2 linked regions of the Drosophila melanogaster genome follow. The protein of the gene in region 1 interacts with the protein of each later gene in a pairwise test. Each region holds a gene or a part of one and is shown on either strand. Other genes may lie near its edges.

The links. The genes of interacting proteins can lie anywhere in the genome.
Region 2: the proteins of CG5989 (region 1) and CG31211 interact in a two-hybrid assay, tested with the Drosophila melanogaster proteins (one large-scale study listed by BioGRID).

What each region holds. Positions count from the first base shown.
Region 1 is NT_037436.4:8,601,910-8,605,878, forward strand, and holds CG5989 (uncharacterized protein), read right to left. Parts: upstream 2,241-3,969; 5' UTR 2,089-2,240; coding exon 1,997-2,088; intron 1,947-1,996; coding exon 1,356-1,946; intron 1,295-1,355; coding exon 1,006-1,294; intron 945-1,005; coding exon 606-944; 3' UTR 502-605; downstream 1-501. Other genes in the region: RpL14 (ribosomal protein L14), read left to right, coding at 194-394.
Region 2 is NT_033777.3:11,947,775-11,954,538, reverse strand, and holds CG31211 (uncharacterized protein), read right to left. Parts: upstream 4,860-6,764; 5' UTR 4,735-4,859; coding exon 4,185-4,734; intron 4,113-4,184; coding exon 3,755-4,112; intron 3,682-3,754; coding exon 3,528-3,681; intron 3,290-3,527; coding exon 3,047-3,289; intron 2,817-3,046; coding exon 2,714-2,816; intron 2,358-2,713; coding exon 2,301-2,357; intron 1,899-2,300; coding exon 1,774-1,898; intron 1,713-1,773; coding exon 621-1,712; 3' UTR 501-620; downstream 1-500. Other genes in the region: Hsp70Aa (heat shock protein 70 Aa), read left to right, coding at 1-178.

The sequences.
Region 1 (3,969 bases):
TTATACCTCTTCTCTGCCTAGTTGATTACCTCCTTGAACTGCACATGATGATAATTGAAAGTTCTTGATAGGAATTGCCGGCTGACACATATATGAAGCTAATTCTAGTTTATCTGATTACAATCATAGCTAGGCGTCTTCATAAACATTCAGAATAAATCAAGTACTAATGAGAATTTGTCTTCTTTTGCAGCGCTCCTCGTTGAACGACTTTGACCGCTTCAAGCTGCGTTATGCCAAGCGTCAGCGCAACAAGCTGCTGACCATCGCCTTCAACACACTGAAGAAGCGCACCAAGGCTGACGGCACTCCCCGCGTCCTCAAGAAGGATCGTCGCGAGCGTCTGCGTGCCGAGAAGGCCAAGGGTGGCAAGAAGGCCGCGGCCAAGAAGTAAAAAATACTACCTTTAACGAAAGTAACTGCTTGATGAACATCCACCACCATGGAGAAAATAAAAGAAAGTGTTATTTTTAGGAAAAACACAAGCACACTGCCAGCTTTCTTTTGGTTTAACGGTTTTATTTGCTCTCAAGAAACAAAATGATCTTAACAGTCCAATCTTTAAAGCACAGTCTACCAAATAGCTAACGACCAGAGGACCCCGCTCAAGTGGGGCACTTGCCGTAGATGGTCTTCCAGTTGTTGGGATGGTTGTAGCCCAGCAGGATGGGCAAGTGCAGGAACAGCGTGATATGTTCGCCTTGTATCGACGTGGACACCTTGACCCACTTCCGCAGCCACTCGATCATGGCCTCGCTGCTCAGGCTGTCGGGATTCAATCCGCGCAGATAGCAGGAGTAGCGCAAAGCATCCGGTGTCAGGTTGTGAACGCCACCCTCGCGGGTTATGGCCTGGTCCATGTAGTGCACCAGGAAGGCGTGCTCGTGGAGCCGATGTCGCTTGAAGATGCTACTGGGCAGTCCATGAAGGTTGACTAGGTTTCTCTGGAACGTATGCATTAGTGATATGCTTTAGGCTGCATAAAATGTGTCAGATTAAACGTACAACGTGCTTCCGCGACATTCCCAGCAGGGAATATGGTCCTTCGGCGAATATGTCTTTGACATCGATGAGCATCTCAGGCGTGGGGTGTGTGCCGCTGCCCAGCTGGCCCAGGATGTCAGCAAAAGCCGAGTGCTTGGGATGCGATGCCGTCGCTTTGAGCTTGTCCTGCAGGCAGCGAAAGACGTCCTTGTTATTGCATAATCGCCGCTTCATGTAGTAGCTCTGGAACTCGGAGCGCTGCTGCGGAGTCCAGAAATGGGCAGTGAGAAAGGAGCGGGGGTAATAAAAGCTGCGAAAGAACAAATCGGTATACCAAATTTTGCAAGAGTGTTTAGTAGGGCATATCTTACACGAGGGGAAAGAACGCATAGCCCACCATGGGCAGGGAGCAGCCGATCAGAGCTGGTGCCACCTTCATCATGTCCCTTGGCATCTGCATGTACAGCTCCAGCTCCTGGCGATTCAAAGCTCTTATGCCTTGAGGCGAATCATTGGCAATGCGGGCAATCTTGAGGAAACGTTTCATGTCGCCAAAAAAGTCCTTGACGCCATCGAAGAACACCCTGTACAACTGCATGGCCTTGGGGAAGTTCTTTTCGAGCACTTTGTCGTAGTTCTTCACATAGTTGAAGTACCGGGTGAATATGTAGTCCTGCATATTGTCTCGCATCTGATCCCGTTTCGATTTCACAGTGTCCAGCTCCTTGCGCTTCTCGTCTTCGGGTTTCTTAGACGGCGTCGGCTGTGTGGACGACGAGCTGCTGGGCCGGACCTTTGGCTTTTCAATGGGCTTGTTGGCATCCCAGCCCGTTTCGTAGATGACCTTACCCACGCTGGTTATCTCGGCGGCCACATTTCGCTTGATTTGTGGTGGAACCGCTGCTTCGGGCTTCGTTGCGTAGTTCCTGCTGCAGAAAGCTGTTGGCCTCTTATCGCTGGCGCTGGGTAATTGAATTTTAATGCTGACTGATAATTGGGGTCAACTACTCACCTGCTGCACAGGTGTAACAGTCGCCGGCGATCGCGGGGCCAACAGTTGGCCGGAATCGCGGCGCATCGGGCAACGCGCAGCGCCAACGCCATACTGTAACTCCAAGTGGCAGCCAGAAACCAGGAAGAGGCGCGTTATTACGCAACCGCCGACTCCAATGCAGGAGTTGCCCACAAAAATAAAAAAAATTCAAGGAGCAATTACGATTTACTCGATTTGAACAGCTGTTGAACTAGAGATGGAACACAAACAGAGCTGCTCACACGTTTAGCGAGTGTTCTTACCACCGCTGAGCGAATGCACGAACCTATCAGTTTTAACGAAAGTTCCAGCCAAGCAAATATTTATATTTAACGAAAATGTCTGTTAAGTGTTTTGTTTTTGAAATTGCTAGCTTTGTTATTTGTTTAATATAACCATTATAGTTTAGAATATATCCATTGCAGTAAAACTCTTTAATTATAATAGAAGCATGCCAAGTTCCCTGGGCCAAAAATTAAGGCTAAAAAATAGAAGGTATGAAATTGTATGTATATATTCAAACATTATTTATTATATCAGTTTGAAACTAATTTCAATTATTGCTTCATGTACTAAATCTGAAAATCCAGATAAGAATTTCAAATCTCTGGCGCCCACCGTGCAGCAAGCAGTGCGCACTGCTTCACGGCGAAAGGCTTTCTCTCCGCTGGCTGCAGAAATTGCGCTGCTGCTGCGGGAGAAGAGAAAGTGATTTTCAGTCCACCCTGAGTCGTCTGTTGCGTCGGTTGCTCGAGTCCCTTCCGTTGGCCAAAAAACTCGCGGCGGCCGTTCTGTTTGTTTTCGCCTCGTAGATGCTGTCTGCAATCAAGAAGCAAAAAAAAAGGCATTGAAAGCAATAAAAACCAGAGCCAGCGCGGCAACAAGGAGAGAAATTAAGCGTTAGAGCGGCAGGAAACAAACAGAAAAAAATCGTAACTAATCACCAGGCCACTTTTGGCCATTTTGTGGCATAAGCGGAAACGGAAATGTGCGTTAGTTGTTTGGCAGGTCGACAGGAGTGTTGAACGAGGGCGGGGGGCGTGGACGGGGCCGGAAAAGGGGGCGACAAGACCTTCAGCGGGAAATTGTAAAACTTAGCGCGTGTCCAACTTGCTTGACTTTCCACTTGTTTTAGCGCTGAGAAAAGCGGAAAAGCGGAAAAAGACGGACAAAGTTACCCGAAAGACACTCTCTAATGTCTCTTTTTCTAAGCACGTGTGTGCGTGCGTCTTCGTGTGTACATATGTTAGAGTGTATGTGTATGTGCGCCCAACGGTGCGTGTGTGTACGCGTGTTTTTTCCGCTTAGCTTCAATGCGACTTATTTATCTGCCACAGGATATGGGATATATATCGTATATATGCGCACATGTATATTTGTGCGTATATTTAGCCAGCTGGAAAAGCTACAGTTACACTATTGACACTGGTACCCATTTGTTTGTTCGCCCTCTCGTAAAAATAGAACTAACCGAGCGCCATAAATACCACCGACAAAGTGCCTGCTGGTCGGGTTTAATTGAAAAAACGTCAATATTCCTTCAGGCGACCACCCGTTGAGTCCTTGTCCGCGTCAGCGTCCCTCCGAAAAAGTCCTTGGCCAAACTCTGTCGAAGTTCAAGGTGCTGCCATGCTGCCCTGCTGGCCATGCTGGCCACATTAAGTCAATTCCCACGCCTTGTTCGCTGGGATTACATAAAGTGCCAATCTTTGCAACAGAATGCCTTATTTATGGAGATCTCCCAACGCTGGCAGTCAATTCAATATGGATTCGGCTTTATTGAATTGCCCGGCTTTGACTTGCACTTTATGAATATTTAAGTTTAATACATTTTCACTACGTCGCACCGAAGGGAAAACAATTTTGTCGAATTGCACTGCAGAATCCTTGGTTATGGCCAAGCATTAAGGGATCAGAGTGGACAGGACATTTCTATAGATAATATCACTCTG
Region 2 (6,764 bases), on another chromosome or scaffold:
CGAGAAGGAGGAGTTCGACCACAAGCTGGAGGAGCTCACCCGCCACTGCTCCCCCATCATGACCAAGATGCATCAGCAGGGTGCGGGAGCTGGAGCTGGTGGTCCGGGAGCAAACTGCGGCCAGCAGGCGGGAGGATTTGGAGGCTACTCTGGACCCACGGTCGAGGAGGTCGACTAAGGCCAAAGAGTCTAATTTTTGTTCATCAATGGGTTATAACATATGGGTTATATTATAAGTTTGTTTTAAGTTTTTGAGACTGATAAGAATGTTTCGATCGAATATTCCATAGAACAACAATAGTATTACCTAATTACCAAGTCTTAATTTAGCAAAAATGTTATTGCTTATAGAAAAAATAAATTATTTATTGAATTTAAAAAAGTTTACTTGTTTGTATTATTGGGAACTTAATTCCCGTATTCCCGTATGTCCAACTTTAAAAATATATCTAATTATTATGAGGATATTCGCATAACACATGAAAAAAAAACAAATTTTTCTGAGTTTTTAATTTATTAGGCTGATTTAAAACTGTTTACTAAAAAGCATCTTAAACAGAAGAAATAATAATTATGTAATATTAACAATTAACTTCGGATTTTTACGCGCAAGATTTTTCTTAATGGCGCTTGCGCGGATGCGACGCGGAAGTGGAGGAGTATGCTTTCGAGCTGGAGTGGTGAGTGCTTCGCGACTTGGAGCGGGATCTCGTGCGGTGCCGCTTCCGTCCGCTGCTGCTGCTGCCGTGATCATGGCTACGGTTGCTGCCATGATCATGGCTACGGCTGCTGCTCTGCCGCGAGGAGCGGTGGTAACTGCTGCTACCGCCAGCATCTTCGCCTGAATGGCTGGACTCGCGATGTCGGCGCTGTTTCTGGTGGTGACTTCCACTAAGCTGGCTACTACGATGCTGGCGATGACTCCTATCACGGTCCCGCTCTCGCTCCCGCGCCCGCTCCCTTTCTCTGTCGCGATCGCGACGTTCGTATTTGCTCCGACTGCTGCTGTGGTGGCTGCGGTGTCCATGCCGACTGGATCGCTTGCTGCGGCTGCCTGAAGTTTTGGATCCGCTCGAGGTGCTGCTACTGTCGTCGCTATCGCTGCTAGAGCTGCTCCCACTGCTGCTAGACGATGACGAGGGGGACGAGTGGCGGCGCTTGCTTTTTTTATGCGACGACTTGTTGGCCTTGTGCAGCGCCTTGTCAGCCGCAGTCAGCATGGTGGCCACCGACTCCGGCATCTGCAGTAGATTAGTGGCCGGATTGGGAACGGGCTTCAGCTTTTGTGGGCTGCTATTGCTTAGGCTTCCGGGTGGTGGCACCACAGCGGTCGCCACTACTTGTTGCACGAAGCTCTGCGACTGCTGTTTGCCGTCCTTGTTGTCGCTAAAGCGGGTGGTCCGTTCCTTGCGACTGAGTCTTTTGCCTAAATGATGGCAATGTATGCTTAGGAGTTCTTTGGATTTATGTGCATCACCTATACCATTTGACTGCTGATGCTTTTCCTGGGTTGCTTGACTAGCCGACTCACTGGGCGGTTCTGGATTGGCCGCCGGTCGACGATGCTCACCACCACCAGTTACGGAGCGTTCTAGCTCCCGCTTGCGATGTCGCAGCAGTGTTTGCTCATCAAGCAGCTCTTGCTTGGCCACTCGATCCTCAATGTCGTCAATGACTTTCTCGAAGGATCGTTTGCTGCGCCTTATGCGAGCCTAAAAGCCAAATAATATTGAGAATTGATATCTTTTGATAATGAACGTGTGGCTAACTTACTTTCAACTCCTCCGCGCTTAGCTGCGCGCTTTTTTCGGCATCCTTTCCAGCGCCCGCTTGACGCTCATCTTCATCATCCTCATCATCCTCGGTTTCGCTGGAAGAATCGCCATAGGCAGCTAAACCTATAATTCAAATCAGTCAAGTGCTAATTGTTGCTACCAGGCTTCAATGTAGATCGGGCGCAGATTTTGGTATATTTTGAACTGATTTTCAATATCTTCGCAAGAATTTACGGAAAGGTGAAAGGAAGGGGAAATGGGGAAGCGAAAGGACGAAGAAGCGGGCTAGAAAGACCAAACTGCGCCGAGGGGGTCGAAATCATTTGGCCATGGCTTAAATTTACAGGAAGCATAGAATGTTAAATCTCGGCCATAGGAGTAATCCAATTCTTTGTAATATCTTTTCGTTTTGTGATTAGGATTTGGGGTATAGAAAGACAGGATGACCAAGCATAACTCAGACTACCTCTGAACAAAAATAGTGCAAAGAATATGTATGAACTAAACTGGAATTTGGTTACTTACCCAAGTTGCCGGTAATGGAGGACAAGGCGCTTTTGCGAATCACTTGGGCTGATGACGCTTTTGATTTACACATACATACATATATATATATAATTATATATATTATATATTAAAATTAAAAAATTCAGCAAGTGATTTCATTGGTTTGTGTGGTGTTCGATATATCAATTCATTATTAGGGATTTAAAGATTATTAGCATAGACATAGGATTAAAAGAGTTGGTAACGCGCTGTGAAGCCGGAAAAAACACGACTCCAATCGCTTGGCCGAAACATCCGGTCATCCAAGCTACAATCGATCCGCGATATATCCGCGCCGTCTTACGATCTATAACTACTTACACACACACACACGAGCGCGAGCGCTGGAAGAAATCGGTTTGGGATAAACTTAAGTATAATGCATAATGTACCTTTCGCACGGTGTGCTTTTAGAGTCTCGCCTGCAATGGCTGCAATCTCTTCGTTCGTGGTTTCCAGCAGGATTTCGGTTAGTGTCCGACGCACCACAAGCATCTACAGATGGGTGGTATTGGGTGTTCATATTCATTGTTTGCAACTATACAAATGGGTTTTTTTTTTGGATGTGCCGCCGATGGCCAGGGAATGAAACTCTAGTGAAGAGTGAACGAACTGCAGAGCAGCCAGTAAAGTGTTGTCAGAATTCCGCAGTTCCTTCGCCTCTGAGACTCACTCGATTTCATCGCCTGGCTGAGCAAACATCCGGGTCAAATGGTGATGCCTACCAGATCCGCCAGTCTTTCTTCGTAGTTTTTACCATTGACATCGTTTACGGTAGCCATTCTCACGTGCTCCGCCACTGTCCGATTGCCGGTTTCGATGGCTCCATGCAGCTCCGACTCTGGCTCTTCGCTGCTGCTGCTGCTTCGATCGTCGTCCTTACTAATCAATTCATTACCTATTTGCTGCACCTTTAGTTCTCCACGCGCCTCCACAGGCACGTCAATGGAATCTTCGCTGTCGCTAGCCTGAATTTCAAGGGAATGTTTAATCGACAGCCTGCACTCAAGCCTGCAGTCTGCTCTACTGTCCGGATTGTTTTTAAGTTTTGTGTGCTTTCAACGACGAAACATCGTTTTCAGTTTGGTTCAGTCCCGTCTAAATTTTGTGCAACCAATTTGTGTGAGATGGTGTGTGCTACGCTTTCGGCACTTTTCTGTCCGTATTGAGAGTCAGTTAACCCTGCCGCCCATCGACCTTACTTACCACGTTCGCGATGTTCAAAAGATTACCAGGTGTGGTTAGTGTTTTGCTTGATACTTGCTTAACATGGTTGACCTCAACATCTGGCGTGGTCATGGAGGATTGCTGGCGCTCTAGTTGCCGCTGCTTTTCCCGCTCCATTTTCTCCAGGCCCTCTCTGAAAGATTAAGGAAATTATTACAAGTATCTATCTTTTGTGCATCTTATTGTGGTTCTTTGCACACTCATACCTTATCCAAGCTGGCAACATTTTCCGTTTGTTTGCATCGATCTCACTGCTAGCCCCGCTACTTCCGCTTTCCGCATGCGTCTGCTGTGTGTGCTGTGGCGGCAGGTGTGTATGTGGTGTTAGGTGGTGTGGATGTGCATGCGGCTGATGTGCTGGTGGATGGTGTGGATGCGTTGGTTGGGGAGCATGCTGCTGCTGCTGCTGCTGATGCGCTTGCAACTGCAACTGCAGCTGTTGGTGCGGCTCATTGGGATTGCTCACGTTCAGCTTCAGCAGAGATGGTATATGCGCCGTGGAATTGCCTGATTTGTCGGTCTGCATTTGCCACCCGGTCCATGGCTGCTTGCCCAGCGTGACAGCTGCAAGGAACGGAGAGGAGGGTTAGTTGCTGACCTGATTTATTGTGCTATCTTCTTGGATCTTCTACAAACCCGCTCCGTTGGAGGCGTCTGGGATCTGACCAGCCACTTCGGTGCCCGCCAGCCATTGGGATTGCGTAACCAAAGGTGCTGGCGGTGGGGGTGTCTCAGTGCTATGTCCCCGATCATTCTCATCGTCCATGTCCATATCCGCCTCGCCGTGCTCCTCTAGTTGCGGAAATCCCGCCCTGACCACACTGGGCACCGGCATTGCTAGCGTCTGCTGGTGGTATTCTCGCAAATTGCTGATGATGGGCGGCGGAGGGGCCAGGGGCATGGGCACCGGAGTAGCGTCCCGCATGTGGATCCATTGCTGGGCGAGCTGCGCCCAATCGATGCCAACGCCACCCTGCATGGCGAGCGGCAGGCCGGCGGCTACCATGGGCGTCACCATGCCCTGACCGCCCCCGGAGGGCAGTGAAAAATGTGTGGGGGGTGGTGGGGGCTGCGCCAGGAACTGATTGTGATTATGGTTGTGCCCATGGCCATGTTGTCCAAGTCCATGGACGTGGGCATGCTTGTTGTAGCCCAAATCGGCGTTTCCGTTTCCACCAGGAAACATCTCTGCTTGTAGTTCGAATATGCTCTTTAAATCCCAGCTGTATTCCTCAGTTATCGAGGTTTTCTTCACGAGTGAAACGAATTTTCGTCGCCTTCTACGCCATTTTCTTGCTCAGCCCGTTTTGTCATTCGCAGCGAAGCGGTAACAGCGGGTCGCTCATATGACGGTATTTTTTAATACACTTCAGCTATACTGTTATTTCAAAAACATATTTCTTTTGTTACTTTTTATGCAGTTCATTTGCCACCAAAAAGTAGTCTTTTGGATTGATTTATTTCTAAAAATGGTGTAATTCAAGAAATTCAGAGGGCCAAGTAATATACTTAATGACCGTTATTTAAAACACACTCAAGGAGATTTATTTAAACGGCTACAATGGTTTTCCAAATAACTTATTTACTGTTGACTTCTATAAAACATAGGTGTATATATTATTATTTTTTATTGATTTGAGATAATTTTAATTTCCACAATATTTTTTCTTGTGATTAACAGAGAAAGTCAAACTCATAACATTTATCGGGTAAAAGTCTCTATGAAGTAGAGGTTAACAGTGAAGTCGCAAAAGTGTGGCCGTACGCCAATCGAGCGAGTATCCCTAACCTGCAATATTTTTAGTTGGTTTTTTCAGCAATAGCCCCACTTTTCTCAAAGAGTGCAACAAGTGATTCTGTTTATGTTTTCAACAACTTCTCTCTGCGGAACTTAACGTGAGCGGACGTATGCGGACGCGTCGCTGCCGGAAAAATAAGTTGCGTCGGCGTTGCGGCGTTGTTGTTTACGTGTTATAATAAATTTGTGTGCGTGCGAGAAGGGCGCGCTCCTGTCTGTGTTGGTGTTATTGTCGGTCGTTCTCAGCGCGAGTTTCGAAATACCGCATTGTTTAATTACAGCCGCCGCGACTAATTTCAATACAAACAAAAGCTGGTGTGTGAATGAAATTATGCTAAAATAGATAATAGTTAAAGGTAAAAGAAATTAAAAGATGAAGAAGGAGAAGAGGAAGAGAAGTTCTGCAGCGCAGTTGCGTCGGCGCAGCAGCGTTTCTATCGGTGTGTGTCTGAGTCTGTCTGTAGTGGTTTGTCTGGTTTTTTTTCGGGCTGTGTGTGTTCGTGTTTGCCAAGCAACAATTTAATTGCTATTCAATTTTAAAAGCAGTTCAATTGCAAACCATTACAAATATGTAATTTGCTGTCGATTGCTTTTGCACTGGAGTGCGTAATTACATTTTTGAGCCACCAAACACCAAACAGTGCAACTGTTGCCGCTACACTGGGAGCAAAACAGGACGGATAGATGATCAACAGTTCGTTGATTTTACAAAGACAAACGTTTTATTAATATACTTAGCATGTGATTCGATTTAACTGAAAATATATACAAATATTTAGTGGTTGCAAGTTTCTTTGTCATGTTAAGGAAACAAAAGTTCAATTTACGTCTTTATCTATATCAATCTTTCAACCATCAAAATAAAATAAAAAAAAATGAAATATCAACTTAATCTCAGAAATTTGGTATCATACGCAGATCTTGATTTTCTGTGTGCTCTGTAATGGCGTAATCGTAATCTTTGTGCCCCCTTTTAATGATTTAATTAAAAGCGTAAATTGCAGGCCGAAATTCAATTTGTCCGTTTGACTTTTCAATTCGTGTGGGTGGTTCTCTGACATTGGATCGTTGTTGTTTGCTTTTATTTAATTTTTTTTTTTTTGAGTTTTTATTGTAGTTGTGCAACAACACGCACACACACGTAGTAAATAATTAAGTTCGTGCGTCGCGTGCCGTTTTGAATTTTCTTTTTCCTTTTGCTGTGGGGCCCGGAAAATGTTCTCTTCTCACTGCGCGTTTATTTGCATTTCCATCAATGCGAAATTCGACTCGTATAAAATACAATAAAAAATCGTTCGAAAAAAACCAGTTGACCGTGAGATAACTCGTGCATAATTGCTAAATAGCAACAAAAAAGAAATATAAATACATACATATGTGAATGATTGAATTGCTGAAATGTTTAGTGTTTGTGTTTT